Linked DNA regions of Notamacropus eugenii. The protein of the gene in region 4 purifies or fractionates together with the protein of the main gene of each other region. This does not show direct contact. Links are inferred from orthologs where the notes say so. Each region holds a gene or a part of one and is shown on either strand. Other genes may lie near its edges.

Region 1 (7,997 bases), on a different chromosome or scaffold from region 4:
GCCCAGCACCCCTAAACCTCAATTGGTGTACATGTGCCACATTCATCAGTTAAAATCATGGTAAAGTGCTGTCCAGAATATATTCTGCCCCCATTCCCACCTATCAAAGAAAGCTTCTGGGCATTATTGTCTCACTCCAAACCCAACTTTACATTTTCTTTTATGTTTTCTTACTGAAGGATCTGATCTCACTTCAAATATGCAAATGATAACTAGCATTTATACATCAATTCAAGGTTTGCAAAGCATTTTACATATATTATCTTATCTCAACTTCTAAACAACCTTATGAGGTGGACACTATTATTAGCCCCATTTTACAGAGGATGAAACTGAACCTGAGAAAGGTTATGTGACTTGCTCAGGGTCACATAACTAGCATCTGAAGGTGAGAGATATCGAAAGGAAAGAAACAATAAATTTTTATAGCACCTACTCTGTGCCAGGCACAGTGCCAGTAAGCATTTTTTACAAATATTATTTCAATTGAAGCAGAATTTGAACTCAGGCATTCCTAACTCCAAGTTCAGTGCTTTATACAATATACTACTTAGTAGCCTCATAAGACAACTCCTCTACACAACCTTCATGAAGGATCTGTGTCTAGTAGAAAAGCCAGGCATCCATTAATAGGAATTAAACTGAAAATTCAAATCTCATTTGCTTAGGAAGCATATTCAAACCATGAAATGGTTGCAATAAGTAGGTTCATTACTCTGCCAATCTCCGCAAAAACGAAGGACTAAAAAACTTCACACAATTCTTATCTGTTCTTCTTACTAAACAAAGATTATTTGCATTCTTTGAAGACTCAATCACTGACACTATTAATAAATGTTCAATAAGTACATAGCATGTTACATAGTACATCAAAATCTGAAACATATTTTATAAAACTTTTCAAGAGAGTATTTAGTTTGCAATGGGAGCTTATAATCAATAATTAAAAGCAAGATCCCTCTTGAACTTCATATTTCAGAAGGCACCTGACATGCTGCCAGAATACTGTAGATTTCCAAATTATCTACAGATAATTTCATGTTTCTTTCAGAGACTCTTTAAATATTTAGCATTTATATAGCATTTTAAAGTGCTCTACACGTTATCTCATTTGATCCTTATAACAACCATTACCGGTAGGTGCTGTCATTATTCCCAATTTACAGATGAGGAAACAGAGGCCTCCACTGGCCCCTGATTACATCTACTAAGTGTCTGTGGGAGAATGCAAATTCATCTTTCTGACAACAGGGCTTTCTTTAAAGCCTCGTGATAATGTAAAAGACACCTGGCTCCATCACCAATCATTTCCCTTTCTAATAAGCTCAGTTTCACCCATTTGGGACAAGAATTTCTAGCAGGGTGGTCCTTTCAAAGGTGCATGTGGACCAAGAGCTCCTTCAACTGGAGTCAAGACAGAAGAAACCACGATAAATAATTTACTGTTCCTATCAGGAAGCAATGATTCAGTTAGTTTTAACAACTGGTTCCACTGGGCTCTTTACCAAATCTCAAAGGAGGAGAAATGAAAGGAGGAAAACATCGACAAGAGAAGGAACAGCTTAAACCAGTCCTTCTGCCCAGTGTGTTTGTTTCGGGGAGGAGGTGGCAGAGAGGGGCATTTTTGGAAAGGGAATGGGGCTGGTTTCCCCATAATATGAACACGTAACAGGAAGCCAGGGGCCACATCTTCATTTCTGGCACGAATAAGAGTCACTCCTCCCTTCTGGCTTCTGGAAAGCAGCGGCCATTGACTCAGAGTTAATAACGGCTCCCCTTTCTTTTATATACAAGCACACCCGGCCTCTCAAACACAATCCTGCGAGTGTGCTGTTCTCACCATTTCACAGATGGGCAAAGTAAGGCTCAGAAACAGTGACCCAAGTGTCCGGGACGGCCGTTTTAAAGCCGGTTCTACCTGTTTCCAAACTCAGTTGTCTCTACCCGCTAATCCACGCTTCCTACGCACATCTCCTTTCCTTCCCGACCTCGGTCAGTTCCGTCAGCCAGAAGCTCCGAGAGCGCCACCTGGCCGAGGCCGCCCTCCTGCGGCGGAGACGAGGCCACGTGACGGACAGGCCCTTCCGGCCCCACCCCCACCCCTCGCCGGCAGCACGCGCTGCCAGCCTCCTCACGTGACCCCGCAACTCCCCAGCCGCCCGAGCGGCCATTTTGTGGGAGACCTAACCATGCGTGATCGCGGCGAGCCCGCTCCCATCTGCCGGGTACAAGCTCCCCGAGGGCCCGCGGGCGGCACACACGCCCCCAACCGAGCCTTCGGGCCGCCCCAGTTAGAGCGAACCGCAGTGAAACATTCTGCACCCCAATGCACATCGAACCCCGGGCCTCCGGGAATGCGATGCCACCTCCTCAGTCTCTGACTGGCCCACTGTTGTCACGTGACGCCAACCCCCAATTCCCCCCCTCAAAAATTCACCTACATATACACTCAACACCTCGAGCCCGGAGCAGTCTTTAACAAGCGCGCGTGGGGGCCCGACGTAACGTATGGGAAACGCAGTGCGCCTGCGCGTACCTGTCACGGAATAGCAATCGTTAGCCAGACCCACGCGCCACTCCCGCTCACAGGTCCGGGAAACATCGCGCAGCCTAGCCTACCGCGGCCGTCATTGGAGGCCAGGAATGGTCACGTGCCCCTTCCGGGCCTGCCTCCCCTCCCCCCGACTCCTCCCTTTCCCCCCCTGCACCGCGGCTCATCACCTCCATTGTGGTGCGAAGCAGCTACGAAACCCGGGGCTTCGTGCAAAAAAGGGCAGGTCATTGAGGCCGTGGCTGCCCGGCTTTCGCGCCCATGAAAGCCCTAGGAAAGAGGAACGGGCGCCCAGGCGGCAGCGTTCACACTTAGCGATCCAGTTCCATTCTCCTCTCTCGAAGGTGGAAGCCGGGGCGTGAGGAGGGGAGGGGGGTCGTCACCCGATTGCATGTTGGGAAGGTCACTCCGCCCTGGGGTGACCGCAGGGCATGCTGGGAGAGTGGTCTTCCTTAGCGTCTCCAGGCTTCTAGATAAGTCGACTTCCTCAGCCTCCCGGTCCTGGGCAGCGTTTGCTATTTGGAGACCGTGGGGTCCAGTGCGAAGAGCTCTAGTCCGGGTGTGGGGAAACCTAGGTTAGGCGGCCGGCCGCACCCCGAACCGCAGCTCAGTGTTGGGGGCCGCCACCTCCCGGCCCTTCGCGTCCATCCCGGGAGCAGGCGGCTGCTGCGTGGCCACTGCGTGCCTGGAGGGATACGGAGAGTGTCCTCTTCGTCCTTTCGGGGCAGGTGAAATGAAACAAAGTAGCCACTTGAATGTTCAAGAGAAACAAAGTTACGGGGGAAAGCCTTAGGTTAGGACATTCCACACTTCTGGTTCAGGAAATCCCGGGCTCTCTCCTGCCTCACCTCTTAAAAAGGAGTAGTTAGCATTTATGCATCACCGTAAGATCTGCACAGCCCCGTACATCTGTCATCCCGGGCGACTTGGCCAGCTTCTACTGCCTTGTGCCTGTCTCATCTCCCCTAGCCCTGGTAGGATTGTAGCCCATGTGAGGGCAGGGTCTGGGCTCACCTGTGCATCCCCGGCACGTAACCTGAACGTAGGAGATGCTTCATAAATATTCTCCGACACTGTGGACCTCAGTTAGCGAGTTAGGGCCGGCGATCTCCCTCCCTGGACCTGGGTTTTAAATGATGTAGGTAATCCTTTGAGTCCTGGAGCAACGAGAAGTGGGGAGGGGATAGAAGAGGGCAGCCACAAAGCCCGTAAGTGTCAGGGTGGAAACTTGATCGTCCTAACCCTAAGGTAGACTCGATAAGCCATGATGCCAGGCTGCCTCCCAGATCATAAATATAGAGTTGAAATGGAGGCATCAAGTAACTAGCCCCTAATTGGGCAGAAAAGGGAGAGAGATCATTTAGGGAATAAAGATAGTTGTGGATTTCGGTTTATAGTGGATGTGGGATGATGAACGTGGGTCAGACTTCACCTGCTCTCCCTGAGTTCACCTTTTTCACTTTCAAAATAATCTTTACCGTCTAGTGCCAACCTACCCTTCTGGTATTATTTCAAATCCATTTCCACGTGTTAATGTTCTATTTCAGAAATCCCTGAACTTTTGCAAATAGAAAAGATCTTTTCAGTTATCTGAGCTCATAGGATTTTTTGCCTTTAGGCAGTTATATTTAAATTTGTATTGTTTATATCTGTTTACCTGACATACCAGCTATTTTGCAGTTACCTTAAGAGCAGGGACTAAATTTGAATTCTACATAGTAGGCACTTAATACATTATTGTTGAATGAATTAATTTCATACTACACTTCTTTGTGGAATTTATGTATCTGGTCTACTTGTCATCCTCCAAATATATAAAATGTTTTCTTGCCTCCATTCCTTTTAGCAAACCATGGTAAATGTTCTCCCCAACATCTAATTATACTCATCCTAAAAAGTACACTCAAATTTTACCTCTTCTAAGAAGTCTTCCCTGATTCTACCAGCCAGAAGTCATCTATTCCTTCTTTCAGCTCTCTGTACCTTGTTCATATCCATTTTCCTATTCTATCTTGTGTTTTTTATCTGCTCTCCTCCTCCTAAAAAAAAAAAAATTTCCCTTAACCGTACTAGACCTCCCAAGATATTATTCTCTCATCTTCGTCAAACTTGTGGAAAAATTAGTCTGTACTGCTTGCCTCCACTGTCTCCCCAGCTTCTCACTTGCTTAGCACTTTATCTGACTTCTGTCCCCATTTTACTGAATGATCTTAAAGGTTATTAATTACTTTTTTATTAGGAAGTCTAATGGCATTGGTATCTGTGACATTGTACTTTGAGGGTTCTCCTCCTTTGGTCACACTCCTGTCCCTCAAATGTCAGTGTCTCCCAATGATCTGTTCTTAACCTTTTCTTCTTTCTTTGCCTTGTCTCCCTTGGCAATCTCATTTATTCACTTATTGCTTCAGTGATCTCTAGGGAGACAAATCCCAAATCTGTGTTTCTACCACCCAAACTTACCTTAGAACTCCAATCTTTTATTTCCAACTACCTGCTGAATATCTATACCTAGATATCCTACTGATTCCTTAAACTCAGCATGTTCCAAACTGAATCTTTCCCCTGTAAATTCTATTTCTGTCAAAGGCAACACCATCATCCCTGTGTTCCAGGCTCATAACCTTATGGCCCTCCTTCTCTTCCCTCTCATTTACTCTTCATATCCAGTCAGTTGCCACATCCTATCATTTTTACTTCACCACTATGTCTGATATCTGATCTCTCCAGTTATGATATAACCACTCTAGTTCAGACTCTGACCTAAACTATTATAATAGACTCCTAACTGGTCTTTTAATTAGACTATTACCTCTTCAGTTAATCCACACTACTGACCAAGTAATCTTCCTAATGCTCTGCCAGTGTCTTGTCACTCTGCTCTCCTTAGCCTCCAATTCAGGCACTCCAGGGTTTTATAGTTTCTGTCATGTCCAACGCTGTGATCCCATTTGAGGTTTTCTTGACAAAGATACTGGATTTTGGTTTGCTATTTGGCTTGCCATTTCCTTCTCCAGCTCATTTTAGAGATGAGGAAACTGAGACAAAATAGGGTTAAGTGACTTACCTAGGGTCACACAGCTAGGAAGTGTCTGAGGCTGGATTTGAGCTCAGGAAGATGAGTCTTCCTGACTCCAGGCCCAGCACTTTATCCTCTATGCCACCTACCTGCCCTTTGGCTATCCTAAATTCCAGCCAAAATGGAATGCTATCTGGCACATTCTCTCCTTCTGGTATCCTCCATCTCTGTGCCTTCCTTCACACTCTCCCCTTTACCTGAAATTTATTTCATACATTCTCCCCTCTGTCTTTTCAAGTACTTTCTTTCATTGCAGACCCAACTCAGATGTTTACGTCTTCTATAAAGATTTCCCTGAGTGTACCTACATAGAGTATACATAGATGAAAGTGATCTCTCCCTCCTCAGATTTCTTCATACTTTGCCTGCCACCACCACCACTCCTTTGCACTTATCAATTCTCCCTAATATCATTATTACTCATTTATATGTCTTTTCTCTATGATACTTCCTATGAAAGTGAGATCTGTATTATATCTCTTTGTATCCCCAGCAGCTTGCATAGTACTTTCACATCATCGGTACTAAAACTGTTTTTGAATTTGAAGTTCGTGTACATCTCTTTCCTCTTTGGTTTGAGCTCCTGGAGGGCAGGAATCTCCCACAGCGCTGTGCCTTATACATTTTGTTTGGCCAGACGTGGTTTCATCAATATAAGGAATTCCTAATGTGGAAACTTGACTTTGCTGGTGTGGATTGGTTACCCTCTCTAACTTACACTATTGATTTTTAATATTTAATAAATATTTGTTTGCAGAACTTACCCACAACATGCCACACATGAGACACTTTCCTATATAGACATATTCACGTAGAGACAGCATAGGTTCCACAAAAATAGAATTGCTTTTCTACTAGGGTAGAGCTTGGAGCAACTTTCTCAGATCCCTGTGTAATGTAAACATGCAGCTAGGTGGCACAGTGGACTGAGTACTGGGTTTGGAATCAGGAAGACTCATCTTCCTGAATTCAGATGTGGTCTCAGATATTTACTAGCTGTGTGACCCTGGGCAAGTCACTTAACCCTGTTTGTCTTAGTTCCTCATCTGCAAAATGAGCTTGAGAAAAAAGTGACAAACCACTCCAGTATCTTTGCCAGATAGGGTCATGAAGAGTCAGAAATGCCTGAAATGCTGAACAGTGACAAAACAAGAGTAATGCAAGCACGTGAAGCTTGAGCTATGCCAGTGCACTCACTAAGCGTTTTCAAATGCAAATTTAAATCCCACAGTTCCAGCCTTGAACCACAAGCTCATTACCATCTGACCGTAAATTTTATTATCCTTTACAAAGTGTAAAATGATCCAGGCACTTCTAAAAGGGAGTTAGGCCCTATAAGGCACAAATGCACTCTGAAGTGGGAAGAGCCTTTACCACTCAATTGTCTCTATAACTTGCTCCTTACAAGGTAAACATTTACTGAAGTAAAAAAGGGGCAGAACTTTACACTTGAAAAAGAAGCAGCAGCTAAGTAACACAGTGAATGGAGTGCTAGACTTGGAGTTAGGAAGACCCAAGTGCAAATCCTACCTCGGATACTAATGGTCTAACTGGACAAATCATTTAACTTCTTTCAGATTCAGTTTCCTCATGTAGAAAATGGGGGTAAATGTAACACCTACTTCATAGAGTTGTTGTGAGGATCAAATGGCATAATGTTAAAACCACTGTATAAATGCTATTATTAGAGAAGAAAACTGGTACTGCTAAATCCCAGAGGAAGCAGAATGGGTTGGAATCTAACACAAAGGTGGAAGCATTAGGTTTAAAAAAGGAAAAGGTACTTCTTTCTCTGATTCACATGGAAAGGCAAAAACAAAAAGGACATGTATTGTGTTCCTTGTGTTGCCAAGGAGATAAGGATATTGCAGATAGACACCTGCTGGTTAAGAAGGAAATCCCCAGCATTCCCCTCCTTGAACCTTCAGGGAACTGAATGAATTTTGCCCTTGAACCAGCTTGAATGACAAGCCCACTCTAAGTGGGGTGAGAAGAAACAGCATCAGAGCAAGTATACTAATCTGGCAGGAAAGTCAAATATATAATGTATATAAGAGCTCATTAGATAAGTGGTCAAAGAACATAAACAGGCAATTTTCCAAAAAAGAAATGCAAGGATCAGCTATCTCATGAAAAAAATGTTCCAGATCACTAATGAGAAAAATGCAACCTCATGCCCATCAGATTAGCAAAGATGACTAAAAGGAAAATTGCAATTGTTAGAAAAGCTATGGGAAGACAGGCACATTGATGCATTGCTAGTGGAGGTATGACTTGATCCAACCATTCTGGAAAACAATTTGGAACTATCTTATACGTATCCTTTGACTCAATGATACCACTTATGGTGAGGCAACAAGCATTTATTAA
Region 2 (7,841 bases), on a different chromosome or scaffold from region 4:
CTTGGGAAGACCTTTGTGCACTTAGATACAAAGAAGGTCAGATGCATGCAAAGTTTTGGAAACCAGTGCGCACAGCACTTTCCTGGCTCAAGAGCTATTTACTGAGGTGGCAGCAAGGGAACCTTTTCAGACTCCTCCTGCTCATCCCTTCATCATCAGAGCCCTCCATCCTCCATCTCATGGACAGTTAACCCTTCCCTTCATTTGGGTTTCTTTGGCCACAGAATGCAGTAAATGCAAACTCATAAAAACATGGAGATTTGGCTGATGAAATCTAGGAAAAATTGAAGGAAAGAAGCGAGGACATCATCAGGACATCTTCCCAAAGTCACCTTAACACTATAGATGACACTCAAGCGCGTGGGAATCTCACCAGACAATCTTAGTATTTCAGCTATCAACTTATTCTCCATGGCATTTGGCTTAATCTAACATCACGTTGACTCATTACCAATTTTCTCTCTTTTCTTTACTGGGAAATCCAAAGACTGTATACAAAGTACATACAGACACTGTGGCTTCAGCTCTGTGAACACTCACCTTTTAGGCCTAAAAAAAATCACTAAAACAATACAGAACTCGATACAATGGGAACCATAACTTTGAATTTCGTGATTTTCATGTGAATTTTCAATGAATGTTCTTAATGAAGAGTTGCTCTCAGCCAGCATTAAATCTAATGGGTCTAAGCAGATGCAACTTTATGCACATTTTAGTGTAGAAATCAAGGTAGGAGGCATCATGAAATGGCCAGATACACATACTGGAGTTGGCAGAAAAGGCTGTTTTGAAATATGCACAAGGATTGGAGCTCTGTCCTTCCCTGGTTCCCAAAACTTACTTTCTAAGAAAATTACAACCTGGCTGATGGAACTTGGACAGACGTAGCAGTTTAGAGTCTCCCTGCCTCTCACAAAGTTAAAGAAAGAAAAAGTGGTTCAAAGAGTAACTTTTATCCAGATTAACTTTAAGAATAACCTAGCTTTTAAATTAAACATTCCTAGAGCAACAACCCCCAAACCCCCAATGCATGATAACTTCAACTTTAAAGTCACAGCCAATCAAATGGCTCCGAGGAATTCCATAGGCCCTCTCAGGTTGGCTGCATCCTATGCGATGGATACAGAAAGAAGAAAGGATGCTAAAGAAACCCTGTTATTTTCTCAGAAGATACTATGTAACTGCTGCTTTACGTAGCTTCATCAAACCTCCCTTTCCTGTCCTACAAAAACCCCTTGTGTGTTGGAGATGAGTTTCTCACTGTATCTGACTTTACTAAGTCACTTTCGCGACTTCTCTCCTGACCTGGATGGGGCCCAAATTCTTGGCTAAAGTTGGATGTGTGTTTAGAACCACAGAGATGCAAAGTTATAATTGTTTTTTGGGAGGGGGGGGAAGACTTGGGTTAATCCTTACATATTTTAGGTGCTTATTAACTTACCAATGTAGTTTTATTGGAGGCCATTTTTTATTGCAGACTTGAAGAGCTTTTACTAGAAAAATGCATGACAGTTAAAAGGAAGTTTACATGAGAGAAAAAGCTAGTTGAATACAAGTTCGGTCCTGATTCCAACCCCCACGTATGCAGCACACATCTCTCTCTCGACACAAGCGAGTTTGGACAAAGTCCAGTGGAGAAGCCCCCTCGGAGCTCCTGCGCACGTTCGGGGTGGCACATACCTAAGCCTCCATCAGCATGCTCACCTAAGCCCGAGCACTCGCCAGCCTTCGTGGGGAGGGGGCGGGGCGGGGGCACACACAAAGCCCGCGGCTCCCCAGACTGCGGGGCAAGGAGCCCCCGGGGCAGTTGTCGGGGAAAGCGGGCAGCAGTACTCCCAAGCGAACCCCCCCAGCCCCACACTGGAGATCTGGCAGATAGCCTGCAGACCCCGGAGCTCCCCCGACCACCCTGAAGCCGGAGCCTTCACGTGGCCGCCCGGCCGCCCCCTGCCCACGCTCCCGAGGCCAAGGCCAAAGGGAGGCCGCGGTCCAAGGCCAGGCCGCGCTGCTGTGCCGACCATCAGCCGCCCCCCAGGCCCCTCCCGGACCGCTCCCTAACCCCCCTCGCCCGCCTCAAGGACCCCAGCGGGGGCGGGAACAAAGGCCCGCACCGCGCGGGGAGCCGGGCCTGGCGCCGGATGCGCCGACCTCTGCCAGAGCTAACGGGACGGGCCCGCGGGGAGTCCGGGGGGGAGGAGGACCCCGTGGCCGCCGCGTACCCCGCCCGGCGCGCCCGTCCAACCCCGACGTGGGCGCCCCCTGCCCGGCCCGGGGCCCCGGGAGGGGGAAAGGGAAGGGGAGAGCAAGAAAGGCACCGACTTCACCGCCGCTCCGGGTTCAGGCCGCTGCTGCTGCCGCCGCCCGCCTGCGTGCGTGCGAGCGAGCCCTGCCCGCGGCCGCCGCTGCTTGCTGCTGCCTCCGAGCGAGCGGGCGAGACGGGCCCCGGGGCCGCGGCGGGCGGGCGGCTGCGCGGGGCTGGGCCGGGCCGGGCTGGGCTGCGCGGGCCGCCGCTGCTACCGCTGCTGCTACCGCTGCCGCTGCTGGGGCTGCCGCTGCCGTCGCTGCTGAGCACGGAGGGGAGGGGGGGCCCGAAGGTGGAGCCCTACGGCCGGCCGGGGCGGGGCGATGACGTCAGGGGCGGGGCTCCGGGCGGCGGGAACTGACGGGGGGAGGGGCGGGAAGGGCGTTCGGCCCCCGCCTCCGGGCCGTGCAGCGCCGAGGGCGGGGGGGGGGGGCGGCGGCGCCTGCACTTACCGTCGCAGGCGACGGTCCCCGGGGTGGGGGCCAGGGGGCGGAGGGCGGTTGCGGAAGCCCCGGCGGCCGCGCAGGGTCGGGCTGGGCGGGGACTCCCCACGCCGGCGTCAGGGCTGGCGCCAAAACGCGGGCCCGCTAGGACTTCCTCCCTACGGGTGGGGGCGGGGTCGACATCTGGTGGGGGAGGGGGCCGCGGGAAGAACGGGGCGGCGGAGTCGGGGCCCCTTCGGGCGGGCCCGACCAGAGTCGAGGCCCCAGAACGGGGGGCGGGGGCGGAGCCGGGGAGGGGGCGGACGGAGCCCGTCGGGGCCCCGGGGCGGGGGCGGGGCGGGGGCTGTGTAAATTTCAAACTGCGCGACCGTTTCTCCCCCGCCCTGCGCCGAGGCGGGGGCCGTGCGCAATTCTGAGACGCCCTCTACGCCTCCTCGCGCTCTGCGCCCGGCCCCAGGCCGCGTGGACGCCAATGGCGCCAGGCACCGCCCTGCGGGGGCGGGGTGCGCCGTTGGCGTAAGGCGAGCGCAGCCCGGCCGCGCCGTTGGCGGCCGTTAGTGCGTCTGCGCAGCCGCACTGACGTAGGCGGAGGGGAAGACGCGTTGGTCGGAGGGAAGGTTCTAGAAAAGCGGCAGCAGCGCGAGCGACAGCAGCAGTCGCAGCAGCCGCCGCCGCCAGAGCCGCCGCCTCCGCCCGCTCCTCCGGCTCGTCGCTGTGCTCTCCGGCCGCCCTCGCTCCCCGCCTCGGACCCTGCGCCCAGCAGCCGGCGGCGGTGCGCTTTTCTTGGCCGCGGCACGGCAGCCCCCCCCACCGGCGTCAGGACGAGTCCGGTTCGCGCCCGTCCGCGGAGATCCTTCTCATCTCGCTCGGCTGCGGGGCCCCGGCCTGAGGCGACCGACGCCGCCATGGAGGTGAGTCGGGGCCCGGCCGGGGCGCTGGGAGGTTCGAGGGGGAGGATGGCCCGGCTACCCCCCCCCCCCCGCCCCGGGCCGCCGGCGCCATTAGCCTACGCGCGGCGGGGAGATGGGGGAGGGGCGGCCGGACCCAGGGTGACCCCCTCCCCCCCCCCGGCCCAGGCCGCCCGAGAGGCCCCGCCGAGCCCGAGGCTGCCTTCAGCCCGCCTGGGCCGGCCCAGCTTCCCGCGCTGGGCCCGGCCGTTTGGACGGCGGCAAAGTCGTGGGAGAGGCGCGGCCCCGCGGCGCGCTCCCGACGCCGCGCCCAGCGCCGCCATCTTTCCGAGCCCGGTCTCCCGCCCCGCCGCCCCGATCCCTGGTCTTGGTCCGGCCCGGCCGCCGTGGTCAGGCCCCCTCGGGTCGCGCGGTCTCGGCCCGTCTCGGTTCGGGCCAGTCGCCCCGGACCCCCGCTCGCCCACCCGTCCCTGAGGCCGCGCCGACCTTGGCTGCGAGAAGTGACGCCCTGGGCCCCGGAGCCGGCGGGGAGGGCGCCCCCGGAGGCCTCGGCGTGAGCGGGGGGCGGCCGGGCCGAGGCCGGGCCCGGGGGGAGGGGAGGGCGGCCAGAAAAGCTGCTGCGCCATCCGTGCCCATCCCCCCTCCCCCGGCCTCCCTCCCGCGCGGGACCACGTGCTCGGCCCTGTACAAAGGGGGGGTGGGGCGGCCTCCCGCGGCTCGGGGGGGGGGGGGGGGAGGGGAGCGGCGCCGCGTGCTCCCCCGGGACCACGCGTGCGCCTGCCGCTGTTGGGGGCCGGGAGGCCCAAGGCGCTGCGGGGGAAGGTTCTCCCCGAGGCCTAATTAATGGAATCCGGGGCCGGCCCAGCGGGGCGTCGGAGGAAATTGAGTGATAAAGTTCCAGCCTCCGCCCAGCCAAACGGCCGGTGTCCCGACGCGGCTGCGCCCTTTGTCTGCGGGCTTGGGGGGGATCATGGAAGTCCCTTAAAAGGAACAGGATCGTTCTACCTTCAGGGCTAGACTTAGCGGCGTCGCCCCGAGAGCAGCGCTGCTCGGGGGAGGCCGAGCGGACGCGGGGCCCCCGTTTAGGCCTGGCGGTGGCTCGCGCTGCGGGATCGAGGGTTAGAGTTTGGGTCAGGGATGTTGCTGTTGCGAGACACTTCACCGAGTGCACCCCGCTGACCCCAAGGCTGAGCTTTCACAAACCACAGGAGAGCTCGCCGGCCAAGGTCACCACAGAAAAGGAGGCGAAACGGGCCTCTCCATGTCGTGCGCTTTCTTCTGTAGACACCACGTGGCCATGCCCTGAGCATGGCGGGCAGGCAGTCTTCCTTGGAGTCTGAGCAGGTTCTGGCTGTTCTTTGCCTTCCGTAAAGACTTAAGGATTTGAAGCATCACAGTCTTAGACGTACTTGAATCTAATTTTAAAGAGGTTTGCAGCCCAGAATAGAAACGAGTGAGAACTGGGAATCTTACAACTTGGAAAAGAAGCTGTAACAACTAAATACCGATATTTGTGGTATCTTCAGAATTCAGGCTCAATAAACCTAGAGAACCTTATTTTTTAAAAGATGAACTTTTCCAAAAAACCCTTTATGTTCTAAGTCTCAACACTACTTGAAATTGTGATTCACTTTGTTGCAATTTACAGCTTTGATTATTGAAAACTTGAATGAGGGATACATCTGAATAGTTTCAAGGAAGTTTGTTAGGAATTAGTATTTCCACAAGTACTTGACGCTGAATTTTTTTTAATTATCTAAATCTCTTTTGAGACTTGGGAAGCAGTACTCCTATTATCCTTATTTGTCTTTGAGGATTGTAGTTGAAACATGTTTTTATAATTGACTTTAAGGCTGTCTGCAGTTTGACTCTTAACTTGAAAATGCAAAAATCACTTCTAAACTTTAGTGAAATGTGTGTTTTCAGTACACAACGATGATCATAGGATCATCAGTTACTAGAGCAGGATTACACTTCCGGTTCACCTGAATTACAGTAGTCATCTTAAAATTATTTTTAATCCCTTCTGCCACTTAGATGTGTGATCTGCATCAATTTCTTCATCTGTAAAATAGTGCTAATAACTTGGTGGAGTGGTTTAATTAGTATCAAATGAGATGATTTGTTTTGGAAAGCTGTAAGAATTCTATAAGTTCAAGGTGTGTATTAGGGCTCCTCTGACTTAAATTTTTGGGAGTGTATTAACTATAAAATTTGGAAGTGCTAGCTCCCTGTGTAATTTGTGGAAACTGTTTTCAGCTATTAAGTTTTTTATTCCGCATAATAAACATGTGAACTAAATAAAATATTTCAGGTTATGAGGCCATTAGTTTTTACTAATAAACAATGGTGAAAAATTTTTAAAAGTTATTTTTTTCCTCCTAAACTGGTGGACAACTTTGAGTAATGAAAGAAGTGTCCCTTTCAGTTCATTTATGGCACATACTTGGCCTGTCTTGAGATTTATTGGAACCATCGCTAGAGGGCACACAGGAGATGGAAATTAATCTTCAGCTCTGAAGTTTACCACACTGGCTCTGGTTTGAACACTCCAGAAACACAGAAACCTTTTGATGATCACTCTAACTATAGATGGCTTATATTTATAAAGAATTCAGAAAACTTAAGTGAAAATAAGCATTTAGGAGCTCCATAAAGTACCAGCAAAAGTGACTAAATCTCGGTGCTCCTATTTTTGTTTGCAGAGAGAAAAGGAACAGTTCCGTAAACTGTTTATTGGAGGCCTGAGCTTTGAAACCACGGAAGAAAGTCTGAGAAACTACTATGAACAATGGGGGAAACTCACAGACTGTGTGGTAAATTGTCTTTGAACTTCTTGACAATGCAAACTTAAAAAATGCTTTGACGTAAATGCTGTTACATTGTATTTATTGGGTAACAGATTCAGTTTTCTGTTTTATAGGTTATGAGGGATCCTGCAAGCAAAAGATCAAGGGGATTTGGTTTTGTAACATTTTCATCCATGGCTGAAGTGGATGCAGCTATGTCTGCAAGACCTCATTCAATTGATGGAAGAGTGGTGGAGCCGAAAAGAGCAGTAGCCAGAGAGGTGAGCAGAAAGGAACTTGACTGAGGGTCTAATTGTTCTGCAATGGTGAACTTGATCCAAGTCTTTCCAGAGGCTGTGAGTTTAAAATTTTGACCAGCTTTTCTCTCCCAGCCTTTTTTTTTTTTTTTTTTTGCTCTCTTTGACCATTTGGTTTCATAGCAGGAAACACATTTTCCTTAGGTGAAATGTATGGTTTAGTTTGCAAGTAACATTTTGTATTAATATCCTTGTGTCCTAGGAATCTGGAAAACCTGGTGCTCATGTTACTGTGAAGAAACTGTTTGTTGGTGGAATTAAAGAAGACACTGAGGAACATCACCTTAGAGATTACTTTGAGGAATATGGGAAAATCGATACTATTGAAATAATTACAGATAGACAGTCTGGTAAAAAAAGGGGCTTTGGTTTTGTTACATTTGATGACCATGATCCTGTGGATAAAATTGTATGTAAGTAAATTACAACTTTTGTTTTCTATGTAGTGTCTTTGGAAAAACTTTTTTGTTGCCCTTTTTCTTTTAAAGCATTGAACTTTTCTCCAAATTAAAAAAAAAAAAGATTTAAAAATGCAGGATGCTGGTTGATTCTCAAATTCTGAACTTGTGTTTCAGTGCAAAAATACCATACCATCAATGGCCATAACGCAGAAGTCAGAAAAGCTTTATCTAGACAAGAGATGCAGGAAGTGCAAAGTTCTAGGAGTGGAAGAGGAGGTAATGTGGTTCTCTTCTCATCAGACTAACTGCCTTATTCCGGGTGAGGGAAGCTTGGTGCTAATGTGAGTGATTGTTTGCAGGAAACTTTGGTTTTGGGGATTCCCGTGGTGGTGGCGGAAATTTTGGACCAGGCCCAGGAAGCAATTTTAGAGGGGGATCTGGTAAGTCCAAATGCAGCATAATAGTTGAGATACAAACAGGCTCAACTATCGAATACAAATAATTCTTAGAATTTATTTGACTTAAGTCTTGCCAGTCTAATAAAAGTTTACCATCTCATTCTCAGTACTTTGAAGAAACAAATTTTCTTTTAAATGGTGTGCTTGTCACCATTTGCATGCTTAATAATAATTTGAAATGATGGCTGGACATAACCAGTGATTACACACCAAGTGTGTAATT
Region 3 (7,294 bases), on a different chromosome or scaffold from region 4:
TTCATTCTATCCTTCTAAGACAGGGAGGAATGGAGATGATTCATCTCATTTACAAATGGGGAAAGAGGCCTAAGAAGAATTCATGACTTGCCCAAAGTCACATAACACCATCATCTGCTACTTTGACCACTAGATGAGACCTTCCTCACCTGTACTCTTGCCAATTAATATGTAGATGTTTGATATGATTTTCAAAATACTAGGTATCAACCTAGAAAATATAAATCAGATGCAACAAGGTGGGGGAAGGGAAATTTCATACCAAAAACACTACAAAGATGAATGTGTCCATCTTGTCCTTCCCAAATGTCAGCTCCACTCTCTAGATGATCCCATCTCTGTTGGTACTTTTTGTTCATGACCTACTACTACTATCACAACTTATTCCCTGAATCTCCAAATTAGGTAGAGGTAGCACCAGTGTGTGTCCTCATCCCTGATATGTTTATACAAATAAAATCAAGTGAAAGTGAGTTAATACTAAGCAGCCTTGAAGAGGAAAATAAGTCACCGAAGAGAAACATTACAGCCTGACTCGGGTACCCAAAAGGTTCTTTGGTTGGATAATAACTGGTAGGGAGTGTTCAATACATACGAGCCTCTTTTTTTAAAGCACCAAATAGTAGAGCCACCTTCTCTTCCCTAGCAGTTAGTCACCTGTGCAGAGAGAGAAGAGGGACATTCAGAGGGCAAAGGAGTAAGGCCAGAGAGGGGGCAGCATAGAGAGAGAAATGAGCAAAGGCAAAGGGGAACAGGAAAACCTGAGGAATCAATGAGGATAGGGGATCAAGAATATAGAATCAAGCCAGGTACTTGGCTAGGTACTAGGAGAGCCTGATGTGAAGAGTTTAAGGACCCTTAGTCTACATTCTGTTGCTCTGCCAGGCTGTACAGGAGTGATAACTTAAACCAACATTGGAACAACCTTCCAATGACAACGTGACTTCTATTCAAAGACCAAATGTTGGCCAGGGCTTTTTCACCTACAAACAACCCTACCAAATCACTACCTGTTGCTCTCCCAAGGGATATTCTCATCTGGCAAAGGTGGAAAAAAGAGTGAGGCCATGAGTATAGAGTCAATGAGATGGCAGGTAGAAGGACTACTAAGGGAAGAAATCATTATGGAATTGGCCTGAAAAGAGGTAGAGAAATATTTGGGATAAGGGAGAGTTAGTATATGAGAAAATGGAAGGATAGCTGTGGAACCAGTTGAGGAAGTCTGAAGCGATAGAAAAACGGTAAAAGTGACTTCAACAAAAGCATATCTGTTCTCAACCCACTGGACTTTAGAGAAGGAACATGGTGAATGTCCATGTAAATTTTCCACTTTTACTGCGGGCAGGGACCATCTGAAGGCTGGAGAAAGCTGATTCAGAAGAACATGATGCTTCCTGTGGAGTCCTTACCCAAGATGGAGATGCCCAACCCAACAGCCAGAATGAAATTGGACTAGCCTTACTTGGTAGGTGTTTGTGGGAATATAGAACCCTAAAGGATAAAGCCACCAACAGTTGTCCAACCAAATCTCTCCCACAAACATGACCACCCCATTGGACCAAGTGAGAAACTCAGCTAGAGGCACCACTGCCATGGAAACTCCACACTGGAGTCCCACTGAGAGCAGGCCCCAGGGGTTCATCTAGGAGCCTAGCTGCCAATACTCCCAGAGCTGCCATAAACAAGAAGTCACTGGGCCCACCCCTAACTCCTGCCTTCCAGGGAAAGAGGTTTATAAGGTGTCTGGCCTTATTAGGAAGGAATCCCTTAAGGGTCTTTTAGAGCTAAAGGCTGTGGTATAGAAGAAGCTCTGCACCATGGCTGGTGGGCACAGGATGGCACTGTGAGGAACTGGGGGCTGAGAAGAACAGGTTGCATACCTGAAGACCCAATTTTCTTGAACTGCTCTACTAGACTGAGTCCTCCCACTGCCTACCTGCTTTCCTTTCTCTATTAAGTCCCTTCTGCACACCCCAGACATTCCCCTCTTTGCTCCTGACTTTACTGATCAGTTTGAGGGACCCGGTCCCTACATCTCGATGCCCTCTACTTAGAAGTAGATGTGTTTGGAATAGAGAGAATAGGGGTCCGGATGACTTTCTGCTCAAAAGAAGACTGAGGATGAAGGCCGTGCAGGGGCCCCAGAAACGCCTGACCTCAGAGAGACCCTTTGGTTGCCTCCTTTCCAATCTCTTATTTTCTTCAGCTTTTACAGGCTTCCAACTCCGTTTCTTATTTTATCCTCTATCTAGGCTCTCTTTTACCTCTCATCTTCCCATCTACCACACCCCCTCCCCATTTGCTACCTACACCTACGTGCCTGAAAAATCGTTCTGGGGGTCCTCAGACCTTCCTGTGCCAACCTCCCCGTACACCACTGCCATCCCTTCTCCCCACCCCCGCTCCTTCACCCCTGCACCCTACGGACTCTTTTTTCCCTGCTTCTCCCTTCTGTTCCTCCTCCGTACGTTCCCCGTTCTCCCCTGCACCCCACCTCCCTTCTGGACCCCGTCTCCCCACCAAGGTTCTCCCACCTTTCCCGTAGCCCCGACATTTCCAAGCTTTCTTCACTTTCACCTCTCCTATTCTCCCCCTCAGCTTGTGTTGCCCCACCCCCCAATTGGGGACCCCACAACCTCTGTGCCCCCCCCGCCCCCAGGCTCCGGGCGGGCAGTGCCTGCAATGGGCGGGGGTGGGGGGAGGAAAGTGGGGAGAACCTTAATCGAAGAAAATAACAAATGGAGGAGACGCCGGCGGCGGCGACTGGGGGTGGGGTGTGCGGGGAGCAAGGGTGGGGTGGCGGGGGAGGGGGGGCAGCGGGCCCTGGGCCGGGGATCTAGGGACTCGGGCTACGGCAGATCTTACCGGGTGCTGGCTCCGCAGGGCAGGCTCCTCTGGGGCGGCGCTCAGGGCTCCGGGGGGCGGCGGCGGCGGCTCCCCGGGCCCCTCTTTCCCCGCCCCGGATTCAGTCGCGGCGGCGGCGGCGGCTTCGGGGCCCCGCGGGGGCGGCCCCCATCCCCCCCGGGCCGCTCGATCGCCCTCGCAAGCCCCCCGCCCTGCGGCCGCCCTCCCCCGGCCCCTCCCGGGGCCCACCGCCGGTGACACCGCTGCCTTCCCGGGCCCGGGGTCCCGGCCCCCTCCGAGCCCGAGCCCTCCTCCTCCCCCTCCTCCTCCTCCTCCTCCCCTCCGCCCTCCGCTCTACCGCCCCTCTTCTGGGCCGATCGCGGCCCCCCTCCCGGGCCCTCCCTCGGATCCGATCGTGCTCCCCAGCCCCCCCAGAAGCGTGTCCCGGAGAGAGGCCCCCGGCCGGCGCGGGCTGCGGGCGGGCTCCGCCGCGCGTCCGGAGACTCGCACAGGAAAGCGGGAGGCGAAGGGACGAGGAGGGGAAGGGAGGGAGCAAGAGAGAGGGGGATGGGAGAAGGGAGGAAGGGAAGGAGAAGGAGGGAGAGAGGAGGGAAGGAGGGGAGAGGGGGCGCGAGGGAGGGGGAGCGGGAAGGAGCGAGGTGCGGAGAGAAAGGCGAGGGGGGCCTGCAGGGAGTCTGGGGGTGATGGAATGTGAGCAGGGGGAGCCGTGGGAGGAGTTCGGGGGGCGGCGACGGAGTGAGTCGGGGGATCGCAGGGGAAATCTGGGGAGGACGGAGAGTATGAGAGGAGTTCGGTGGGCGATGAGGTGTGTGAGAGGGAGACGGGGGTGTGGGAGGAGTTCGGGGAGTGGGGGCGGAATTGGGGGGTGGGAGGAGTTCGGGGTGAGGGGGTATGTGGGGAAGAGACGAGATCGAGAGTTCAGACGGGGAGGGGGTGGGGGAGAAGTTTGGGGGGTCAGGCGATGTGGGGGAAAGGCGGCGATGGGATAAACTTGGGGGACTGAGGGAAATCTGTGGGGGAGACAGAAGAGAACGAAGGAGGAGGGTCCGAGAGGGAAAGACGGGCCAGATGGGAATCCTAGGGAGAGGCTGGGGGAAAGGGGAGAAAGGAAGGCTAATGGGAATGTGCTGGGGAGCCAAGGGGGTCTGCAGGAAGATGGGGCAGTACAGGTGAAGTGATGGGAAGTGGGGGCACGGCAAGGAAATTAAAGAGCTGGGGACGAAATGGGGGAAGTAGGAGGTTATTGGGAGGGGGATGCTGAAAGAGAGGTAGAGATTGTAGGGGGAGGCAGGGAGACCAGCTGGGTCACCCTTGGGGTCTGGCCACTCTCTTTTAGCCTCTCCCCTTTCTGTGGCCTGTCTTACCCTGTCCACAGCAAAGGTCATTCAGGCCACAAGGAAGGACAGAAATGGGGTGGGGGTGGGGAGGAAAAGTGGAAGATAAGCCGCACTTTGAACCAAACTCCTAAACCCATTTTCGTGTCCCAGAAATGTCTGTGGCACTCTCCAACCACTGTTCTGCCCCTCCCAACACTGCCCCCCTTCTCTTTACTAGTCCTGGAAATATTCCCCTTTCTTCCCCCAACACTCAACCCCTTGGAAACCCACCCTTTCCATCTCCCTTATCCTGTTGCCAGTTTGTATAAAACCCACCTGCCCCCACCATGACCACTACTCTCCTATTCCAAACCCTCAGTTCCTCCCAACCGTGGTCTCCAGGTCCCCTTCACCGTCCCACACCCAGCTGTCCCATCTCCCAGTACAAAGGACCTAGAAACACTGGGTGATTTTTTGGCTGCAGAGACTGAGAAGGCCAGAGGAAAGTGGAGGGGTGGAGGAGGAGGAGGAGGAGGAGGAGGAGGAGGAAGCTGGCAATTAAGAAGAGCTGGACCTGGAGTTTGTGGATTTGGAGTCCCCTCCACTTCCTTGGATGGGGGGGAGGGGGGTGTGGGAAGTCAGGAGAAAAATGTCCGGGACCAGGCCCAGCCGGAGGTGAAAGTCAGTTCCTGGCCATCCAAGTCCGCTTTGCCTTCAAGGGTGGGGAGGACAGTGCATCCTGGGACCCCCCCACCGCCACCCCTAGGCTGCTCTCCTCTCCACTTTCCCCAGGCTTGTCTAGAGGGCAAGGATGATGCTGAGAGTGGGACTGAAAACATCAGGCAGCATTCCAAACTGCTGGGATACAGACATGGCCAAGAGAGGAAACAGTCCCAAATCAAGTACTCTCACCCAAATTTTATCTGTCCACTCTCATTCTTCCCCTTTCTTCTCCCTCTCCTTTGGGATCTGATCACATTCCCCTTCAATCCTATGCCCTTGGACAGTACTTACTTCCTACCTCACATGTTGAAGGGCTCCTCCCATTGCATACACCCAACTTCGCTCATTCCCCACCTTATTCTGCATTTTTCTGCCTCAAACTGGGCTTCACTTCAAGTCTCAGCTTCAAGCCTTCTCCCCAGTCTCTGTTTTCTCTACTGACCACCAAGGGGTGGGGCAGGGGAGAATAGAATGGTTGCTTCCTCCAGGCTGAGAATGGGAAACTAAGGCATTGGGTGGTGGGTGTGTTGGGTGGGGGTGGGGCATGATGGAGACCCATCTAAGGTTGTAGATGTGGAAGAGAAACTAGGTTATTTCTCTCTTCCACACTCAACCAGCTGCACAAGCCCCCCACCCCAATCCTTCACACCACTTCTCTCCACCCCCACCCTTCAGCCAGTAGTCACCAAGCAACCACACAAAGGGAAAGTAGAGAGAGGGGCCTGGGAGGCCCAGGCAGAGCAGAGTTAGTAACCCAATCCTCCCTTATACCTGGGAGAGAGAGGGAACAGAAAGGCCTGTAGAGAAGGGACAGGGTTGGAGGGCGAAGAAATAGGAAGAGGAGTGACTAAGAAATGGATGGGGAATGGGCAATAGAGAGAGAACTAAGATGTGAACAAGGAATGAATGAGTCACAGGAAGGGGCAGCCATTTAAGACAAGGGTAGAGAAAAGAGTATGAAAGAGGATATCAGCAAAGTCCCTAACATTCGGGTGATGGGTGTGTGACCCTGCCAGGGCAGGCTGAGGGTCCTGGAAGGGGTCCAATGAGGGACCCTGTCCACCAGGAATTAGATCCCCGTATTCTGCAGCAGGTTGATATTAGGTGAGGGAAAAGGCAATCTCAAGCTATAATAATGGGGGAGACCTGTGTAGACTATACAATAGCTCTGAATTCCCTTGAGCGCTCTAGGCCTTGGTCCCCAGAGCTCGTGTTTCATGAACCTTGTCTCCCTCTAGTGGTCACCAGACTAGGCCTTGACTGGGAGGTGCCTTCTTAAAATGGAACTTCTTTATAGGGGCTCTCAATCGAAAAGGTCTCCTATTCTTGGGACCCCTTTGTTTGTGGTATTCTCTAAGAAATGAGGAAGGAAAATTGGAAGTAGTCGATGGGCGTGTTCTGATCCTCCGACCTAGGAAATCCATCCCTCCTGTTTGTGAAGGGACTCAGACTCTGTTCAGCCTCCCCTATATTCCGATTTATGTAGAGATATCCCAATCCAACACCCCACTCCCCTTCCAGGCCCCAGGGAGTGAAAGGGTATCCATTCTCCAAGGGACAGCTGGCTCTGGGACTTGTATGGTCCTCCATGTGATCTTTCCCCCAGGGTCAACTGTAGTCCTTCTTGGATGGGAGCCCAGTGAGGGGGCAATCCAGGTCAAAGTGTCTCTCTGAAGTTGGTATATTATTGAGAAAGAATAGGCATTTCAGGATTCCAGCTCTTGGATCCCATCTTGGTCATTCTAAGCTGGTCTTCTTTCCCCCACCCACACCCCCTTTGCACACATTTGCACTGGCACACACACTTGCCCCCACCCTCTCTAATTAGGGATTCTCATCTTGGGGCACTGTTATTCTCTGTTTCCCAGTCCCCAGCCCACTCCCTTCATATATGATAGTGGGGCACAGACTTCTCAGACACAGGGGGGCTGTGATTCAGACTTTAATGACAGTGGTAATTGTGGGCAGCATGGAGATGGTGGTGACTCGGTAGGTGCCAATGGTGGGGGGGAGGGAGAGGCATGGCTCTGCTACAGCTGGGAGAAAGATGGGGAAGTCTAGGGAAGAATCTGGGAATTTAGGGTTAGGGAGGGATCTTTAGCTGAGGGGAGGGGTCCCCAAACAAAGGAGGTAAAGCATGGGACATTTCCTTTTACCCTTCCCACTCCTGCTATACCTCCTTACCCATGGTCACTGTGGCACAAAGCTGAATGAGACATGGAAAAATAGCCCCCTGTGACAAGGCATGCTCGGCCCCTAGGGTTCCAATAAATACGTAAACGAAATAAATAAATATTACTTAAATAATCTCAAATTAGGCCCTGTCCCATGTGCCAACATGAGCAACATGCCAAACGCACACAACACACATCCAACATACACAACACGGT
Region 4 (7,499 bases):
GCCATAATACTGAAGCCTATCACACAAAAACTTCTCAGGTTGAGGATAAATTTATAACTGAAATAAATTTAGAGAAAGAATATAGTAATCCTAAACTTCCGGTTCCTACCTTTTAGTTTATTGTTCATAACCAAGCTACCTTTGAACTATCTTTGCATTCCATATACAGTAATATTCCAAATTATGGAGGCATTTTCCATTGTTATTCAAAATCCTAAAAATGCTGTTGGGAATAGCCAAGATCTAGTTATTTCTTTAAAGATTATTTTTAAAGAATTTTTTGTTTTGTTTTTAAATTCATAAGACTGACAGGAAAACTAAATCCCAGCAGGATACAGCAGTTTCAGAAGTTACCCAGATTCCAAGACACAAATCATGTGGAACACATTAAGCAGATACACTAAAATACAAGCCCAGGGTACTTTTGAAGCCTTATGGTTGTTATGGACTGCTACAGTTTCCATACTATAGGCATAAGGATGTTTTCTGTTTCCCTAGTGAGCTGAGAAGCTCATTTGCTTATGAGACAACCAGGAAACAGAGCCGAAAAGTGCAAGCCAAAGTCAGCTTTGTGTTGGAATTTCAACTGCCTTGCCTTCTGTAGCAAAGCTTGAAATGCTGCACTGATACTCTGCAACCAAGACTCATACTGCAGATGAAAAAAAATCTCTACTGCAGCTCAATTAGATTTCAGCTTGACAATGGGAAGTATTGAAAATCTGTACTGTAAGTAATTATTTCACCTGCCTCTTAGATCAGTAGTTCTGGATGTAGCCTCAACACTAACTTCCATTACTTGCCTTACATCAAGCACGTACCAGTTGAATGAGAAGAGGTAAATGTCTATTTTTGAAACTTCCTATTTTTTCCATCAGAAAACCTTAAAAATCACTAGACTAGACATTGTAATTTCTTCATTTAATTTAGGGAGAATTCTAATTTAATTTAAAATGTCTTACCAGAACTTCTGGTTGCTCTAAGGGGAAACAAGTCATTATAAATAATACTAACATTGGCCAAAGAATCATTGAAAAGAGAAGGATGGAGGTGGGAGAGAGGGATTACATCATAAGCACTCACTTTACAAGTCTTCTGGCAGACCAAAAAACACACAGGTATCAGGCCTGTTTTTTTTCCCTCATACAAATCCCAGGTTTTAATTAGCAACCCTAACCCCTAGTATATATCTAGGAAAGGTTTAGGGGATCTGGTGGTCAGGACCCGGCAAAGTTTAAGTCTTTTGAAATCAGAAGGAAAGGAAAAGAGAATGGCATCAAAGAAATGAAAAGCAAGAAAATAACATTTAGTAGATGGCCTAACCACTTCAAAAAAATAGTGAAATATTTGAGTAGGGAGAAGACCAAGCCAGGAACTCTGACCAGGAACACACCAGAGGACTACTGGCTGAAGAAATGAGAAGAGCTCTCCCTCTGCCCCCAAATGCATGAGCTAAGCTCAGGTGAAAGGCTCTGGGTAAAGACAAAAACCTACCTCCTTCAGTGAAAGATATAGCCCCAGCCCCAGGGAGAGAAGGGGTCATTCCGAGGATGTGGCTAAGAGAAAAGTGTGATTGGCTGGACAAGGAAAATGTGCAATTAGAAAGGCGGAGATCCCTGAAAATAGGAGAAGCCCATCCTACAGTCTGACTCAAAATTAAGGGTTTTGAGTCAGGGGATGAGGGGCAGGGAAGTGGGCCATGGCTGATACCATGAGGGGATCACTGAAGAAAAGGAAATCCTGTTCTCTATTCACAACTAATGGTTCAGAGTTTTTAGGGGAGAGGAAGCAGAATGAGTTAGGCTAAGGCCAGGCTGTGTGAGTAAAAGAGTGGAATGGGGGAAAAGGAACAACTGAAAGGGTAGTTATTGAAAAAAAAGGGAATGCCACCCTCTTAAGCGTCACCTGGTCGTTTCAGGATCCATTTTTCTTATATGTGATAAGGGGATATGAGGGAAAACACTTGGGGTTTGGCTGCTTAGAGGTTAGGGTGCACTAGAGATAAAACAGGTAACAGAGCTAGTGCATTCCTTCTGAGTCCAAGCCCAGATGTTTCTAGATGGGGTAAAGAAAGGGTAAAAACGGGGATTTCACTGTATAATGAAGCATCCTGAATCCAAATCCAGGTGTTTCAAAGGGGAGTTTTTTGGGCTTTTTAGAGGAGTAGGGGACAGTGTGACTGTATTATTAGGTGAAAGTGATCTGTCCCTACTGACCTGGAAAAAGGGGTGCAGGTGGATGCTGAGTGCAGTCCCGAGGAGCTAGTGCAGCTATGAGAAATGGGGAAGGAGGTAACTGGAGGTACACTCCCAATTCATGGAAAGCTATTCCTAAAGGTGTTGGAGGAGTAGGGGAGGAAGAGCAGAGGCAACTACTGCAGCTTTGGGGCTTGGCCAGCCTGAAGAAGGCACGGGGAAGGAGTCTGAGGAATGGGGGGCACCGCCTTGGTCGCTGCCAAGGTATTTTTGGGAAGACTGGGGGACAGCTGAAGAAGGGCAGGGTAGAACTGGGGCCTGTCCTTCTGGGGAGGAGGAATGGGGAACAAACGAGGTCCACGCTTAGGAATGATGGGGTGGGGGAAACGGAGAGAGCGTCGGTGGTTAGCCGGAGGGGGGGAGGTGAGGAGAACGCGGACACCAGGGCGAGGGGGCCCCGCAGGCTGCATGCGGGTGAGGGGCACTGGGGGCCCGGAGGGGGCCAGATTCTCCTCGGAGAAAGGGGGCGCACCCCGGGCTGGCGAGCAGGCGGCCCTGGCGGCGCAGGCCCGTCCCCCGCGCTCTGGCAAGCGACCGGGGTCCGGGGTCCGGGCGCGGCCGTTCCTCCCGGCTCGCAGGCCCAGCTCCAGGCCGGGGTCGGACACGCAGACGGACGCCGCCCTCCGCCCGCTTACCTCACCTCCGCTCGGGGCGAAGCCTCAACAGCCGCCACCGCTCATGAGGAGCGCAGCGCGGCCCGACCCGGGCGAGGACGGACGACCAGGCGCCCGCCGGGACCAAGTGGAGGTGGCAGCGGCAGCGCAGGCTCCTCCTCCCGGCGCCAGGCGGGTAATGTGGAGTGGCAGCTCCCCGGGCGCATGCGCGGCGACAGGGCGGGGGCGAGCGCAGGGGCGGAGCGAAGGACCGAGAGAGGGAGGAGGAGGGGGTAAGGACACAATACCAGGCTGTTTCCGAGATGGGCTACGGCAAGCCGCGAAGGCCGAAATTGTCAGTAACTCAAACTCCTTAAAGGATTTACTGGCGTTTCTCGCTGCCCCTTTATGGCAGAGTGGGGAAGACGTCCCCTAATCCAAACCCCTCCTTTTACAGATGAGCAAAACGAAGTTCGGAGAGAAGGGACTTGTTGGGACCTTAGAGATCCTCTGGGCAGGAGGGGTACGCGACTGATGAGACAGACAGACAGAGAGGGAGAACAGAGGGACCCACGAGAGACGGAGACACCGAGACACAGACGAGAGAGGGGGAAGGGCGAAAAGAGAGACCGAGAAAAAGACAGACGGACGGACGGCCTGGGGAGCGGGGGGAGGGGGCCAGGAGGCAGAGGGCGGGAGGAGCGAGAGTTGGGTCCTTCCAGAGTGTTTACATAGCTAAACCTTCTCTTTCCTTTCCCTCAGACGCCCATAGATCGCACCCAGCAGGCCCCGGCCCAGGCTCCCCATAAGGGCTGTTTTCCAGACCCTCCCGCCTTAAGAGTGATTATCAGTGGTAACTGTTGCCGTTTCCCTCCCAGCTGATGTACTTCTTTTTCTTTGCCTCATTAAAGGGGCCGTGCCCTGATTCCTTCTTAAAGAGGCCTGTTCACTGAATGGGCATTCCTTCACTCTAAGTGAGTGCCTGCATAGGCCCAGGTCTCCCAGGGCATCCCGGGCCATCTCCAGTCCTCCTGAGGAATATCTGTCACTGGATCCACATGGCTCTGGAGGAGAGGTGAGGCTGGTGACCTCACAGCCCTCCCTCCCTCACTCAACACAAGTCAAGGGCAAGTCATGTCATCATGTCTCTGGTGGCATGGTCTTCTCCAGCAAGGAAGGACGAACACACACAACATTCTGAAACCTTAAAACTTCACTAAGACTTTTAGGAGACCCAACAAACACACACAGCATGGGAAATTGTATTTGTGTGTGTGTGTGTGTATACACATATGAGTGTGTATATTGATAATGTTTAATATAAAATTTTGGAATAATCTCTTTGTTCTCTCTGAAGCAAACTCAGAGGGTGCCTCTTCCTATGTCAACAAAGCCAGCCAAGGCTGACTCTACATTCCTTAGGAGACCTTTAACCTAAGACACTATCTTGAATAATGGGACTTTCCTTTATATCTTATTATCTATAGACATACACTATGTTATGGCATATTAATGGTAAAGAAAATATAGACATCTTAGGTCGTAATTTCTATTAAACTTTGTTTACCCTTTCCTATGTCAGTTATCTGTTTAGGGCAGGAAGCCTGCCACTCACTAGTGGTAGGATTTCCTTCCTTGTCACCGGGACATATGTTTACCCAGCCTGGAATCACAAGGCCTGACCAACATTACTTTGTTAATTGTCTTGTCTTACTAAATTTATAATTTGTTCAACTAGGAGAGTTCCTTTCTCACAGCAAAATGTATATAAGCCAGAAGATTTCTGCACTAGGTAGCCAGAACATTTCTGGCTCCATAATGCATTATGTTACTGTTGTCTTTAATAGGGAATTGATTAATTAATTAATTAAATCATAAAATGTATGCATTTAGCCTGTTGCCTTTTCTTTAACCAAGTTTTCAGGTCAACAATATCTAGGTGTAGAATTATATACATACACATACATGTTTAATTTTCTGTGCCTATTTCCTATACATTTTCACAATGCACAGCTACGTCTGTAATTTCCTATACATTAGATACATAATGGCACGTATATACAGGTATGTTATGTGTGATTTCATATACTTGTGCATTTTTTCAGAATATCCCAAGAGTCTTAGTGCAGTTTTAAATGTTAATAATGTAAAAAATTTAGAACATATATACACATACACATATGCACGCATATATACATACACATTTGTTTGTATAAGTACGTCTATATATGTATCTTCTGAAAAATAGAAATAAGGGACGGGTGAACTTCATAATATAGTGGAGAAAACATTGTACTAGGAATGAGGTGATAATTTAAGTTTCCAGCTCTGAAACCCTGGGCAAGACAATTCCTGTGCCTCAGTTTCCTCATCTGTAAAATTAGGGTAATAATGCTTCCTACTTATAGGGTTGATGTGAAGAAATTGCTTTGGAAAAATTAATGGATTTATATACATATGTATATATACTATCATTATAACTATTATTGCAACTGTGAGGTGTGGGAAGGGAGAAGAAAAGAACTGGCCTGTCAGAAGGCATTGAGGTCAGAAATAAAATGCCAAGTTCAGAGATTAGGTAGTTTGACTAGAACATAGAGTTTATTACGGAATAAGAAATAAAGCAGGACAAGTAGATGGGAGCCAGATTGTAGAAGGCATTGATTACCAGTCTGAGCAGTTCATATCTTATCCTGGGGTGGTTATTATGTTTGTCTTTCATTTTCAAAGAGGACCATGGCATCAAGGGAATGATGACATGACTTGCACTTGACTTTGATTTGAGGGAGGGAGGGCTGTGCAGGTCACCAGCCTCACTTCTCCTCCATAGCCATCTGAATCCAGTGACCAGATATTCATCAGGATGACTGGAGACCACCCAGGATGCAATGGGAGACCTTGGCCTCTTTAGGCTAAGGCTTTTTCAGGTACTCACTTAGAATAAGGTAACACTCATTTAGTGAATAGTCCTCTTTAAAAAATGGGGAGCCACTAAAAGTTTTTGAGTGGAGAAATGACATCATCATACCTGTATCTTAGCAAGTTTAGATTGGTAGGTATGTGGTCAATAGATTAGAAAAGACCATAGGTTTATAGCTAGGAGAAACCTCAGAGATCATCTAATCTACCTGTTCATTTTTCAGATAAAGAAACTGAGGTCCAGAGAAGTAAAATGACTTGGCTAAGGTGGAACAAGTTAAATATATGGCTGATTTCCCAAAAAAGTTATTTCTACTGTACCATGAGAGACTGGATATAGTGAGATCAATTAGGCTATTATAATACTCTAATCAAGAGGCCTGAATTAAGGTGCGGTGCCAGATTGAAGAGGATGCATATGAGAGACATTAATGGATGTAGAATCTACAAGTCTTGGGAACTGGTTGTATATTAAAGGGTTGGGAATGAAAGAGAAGGAAGAGTCAGTTATTGCTTCAAATTACAAATCTGGGTGACTGGAAAGATGGTGGAACCCTCAGAAGAAGATGGAAATTTGGAGGAGGGGCAAAATTTAGCGATAGGGGAAAAGATAATCAGTTTTATTTTGGATACGTTGAATTTGACTTTAGGTAACCACACAACCCTTCTGATCACAGCATCAAATGAGTATTCCTGAGCATTTCTGGAAATTTATATTCTCCCAAGTTATTATTTGAAATTTAAATTAGGAAAGGCAGTATGGCAGAGTGGAAAAAACACAGCTGGGAATGTGGATTTTGATCCTGGCTTTGTCGCTTAATTTATATCATCACTTTATGTATGCCCCAGTTTATATATTTATTCTGTACAATAAGGGGATTGGACTAGATGGAATTCAAGGCCCCTCCCAGCTCTTACTTCCTCTGTAGTATTTCTACAGATTTTAGCCCTCTCACAACATCCTTAGGCTGTTAGTTGGAACATACCCCATGTTGAGAAATACCCTTTCTCAATATGGGGTATATTACTAAGCAAGCATGGACTCCTTTGGGATTCCCACTTAATAACATATCTTCAGTCCTCCACATCTATTTTTACTCAATCCATAGGGAGAATTTGTGACACTTTCCTATGTAGTTGGAATGTGAGATTCAGTTGACAACTTGATAAGCAAGAGCAGCACAGCCACATATTACTTGAATAATCTCATTCAGGTTCAAAGCATATGAAATTAGTTAGACTGGAGACCTTAAAATAATGTCTTATATTTAAATAATGCTCCACCATTTCAAAGTACTTTCACATTTCTTTTACAACCTTGTGAAATAAGTAGTTTAATGAAAGAGTTAAAAAGCATTTATTAAATGTTCATGATTTCCCTGTGCTGGGCTAAACACTGGGAACACAAATACAAGAATTCCTGCGTTCAAGGAGTTTACATTCTAATAGGAGACAACACATGAAGGGGGGTAGAGGCCAGAAAGGGATTTTTATGGTTGAAAAATTGTGGGGATGATGAATAGCATCATTGGGGGTTAGAATGATGAACCCTTTCCAGTAGCATTGGCAGTATTCATTTTGATTCAGAACTAGAATGGAGAAGGAGGGGAGGGGAGGGAGGACAAGGTGTTAGAGGCAAGAGATGGTGAGAAGATGACCTGGGTATAAAGAATGTGAGGTGGGGGTGAGAAGTTGTCTACAAAGTGGGGGATATGATCTGCCCCCAAAGAGTATG

What was found.
Region 1: the proteins of WDR5 (region 4) and MGA purify together in Homo sapiens (affinity purification with mass spectrometry; 5 studies listed by BioGRID and IntAct, counting the BioPlex papers as one, with this or other methods). This does not show direct contact. The link is inferred for Notamacropus eugenii from reciprocal best matches to the Homo sapiens genes WDR5 and MGA.
Region 2: the proteins of WDR5 (region 4) and CBX3 purify together in Homo sapiens (affinity purification with mass spectrometry; 3 studies listed by BioGRID and IntAct, with this or other methods). This does not show direct contact. The link is inferred for Notamacropus eugenii from reciprocal best matches to the Homo sapiens genes WDR5 and CBX3.
Region 3: the proteins of WDR5 (region 4) and ATN1 purify together in Homo sapiens (affinity purification with mass spectrometry; 4 studies listed by BioGRID and IntAct, counting the BioPlex papers as one, with this or other methods). This does not show direct contact. The link is inferred for Notamacropus eugenii from reciprocal best matches to the Homo sapiens genes WDR5 and ATN1.

Annotation. Positions count from the first base shown.
Region 1 is NC_092878.1:27,734,852-27,742,848, reverse strand, and holds the start of MGA (MAX gene-associated protein), read right to left. Parts: upstream 3,011-7,997; 5' UTR 2,722-3,010; intron 2,649-2,721; exon of another isoform or gene 2,537-2,648; intron 2,523-2,536; exon of another isoform or gene 2,442-2,522; intron 2,066-2,441; exon of another isoform or gene 1,919-2,065; intron 1,915-1,918; exon of another isoform or gene 1,841-1,914; intron 1-1,840. UniProt on the Homo sapiens protein: Functions as a dual-specificity transcription factor, regulating the expression of both MAX-network and T-box family target genes. Functions as a repressor or an activator.
Region 2 is NC_092874.1:17,305,274-17,313,114, reverse strand, and holds the start of CBX3 (chromobox protein homolog 3), read right to left. Parts: upstream 3,017-7,841; 5' UTR 2,755-3,016; intron 2,472-2,754; exon of another isoform or gene 2,320-2,471; intron 1,494-2,319; 5' UTR 1,466-1,493; coding exon 1,442-1,465; intron 1-1,441. Other genes in the region: HNRNPA2B1 (heterogeneous nuclear ribonucleoproteins A2/B1), read left to right, coding at 3,651-3,656, 6,359-6,469, 6,577-6,723, 6,962-7,172, 7,335-7,436, 7,520-7,600.
Region 3 is NC_092874.1:195,317,944-195,325,237, reverse strand, and holds the start of ATN1 (atrophin-1), read right to left. Parts: upstream 3,007-7,294; 5' UTR 2,866-3,006; intron 658-2,865; exon of another isoform or gene 596-657; intron 1-595. UniProt on the Homo sapiens protein: Transcriptional corepressor. Recruits NR2E1 to repress transcription. Promotes vascular smooth cell (VSMC) migration and orientation. Corepressor of MTG8 transcriptional repression.
Region 4 is NC_092872.1:486,764,812-486,772,310, reverse strand, and holds the start of WDR5 (WD repeat-containing protein 5), read right to left. Parts: upstream 3,017-7,499; 5' UTR 2,888-3,016; intron 1-2,887.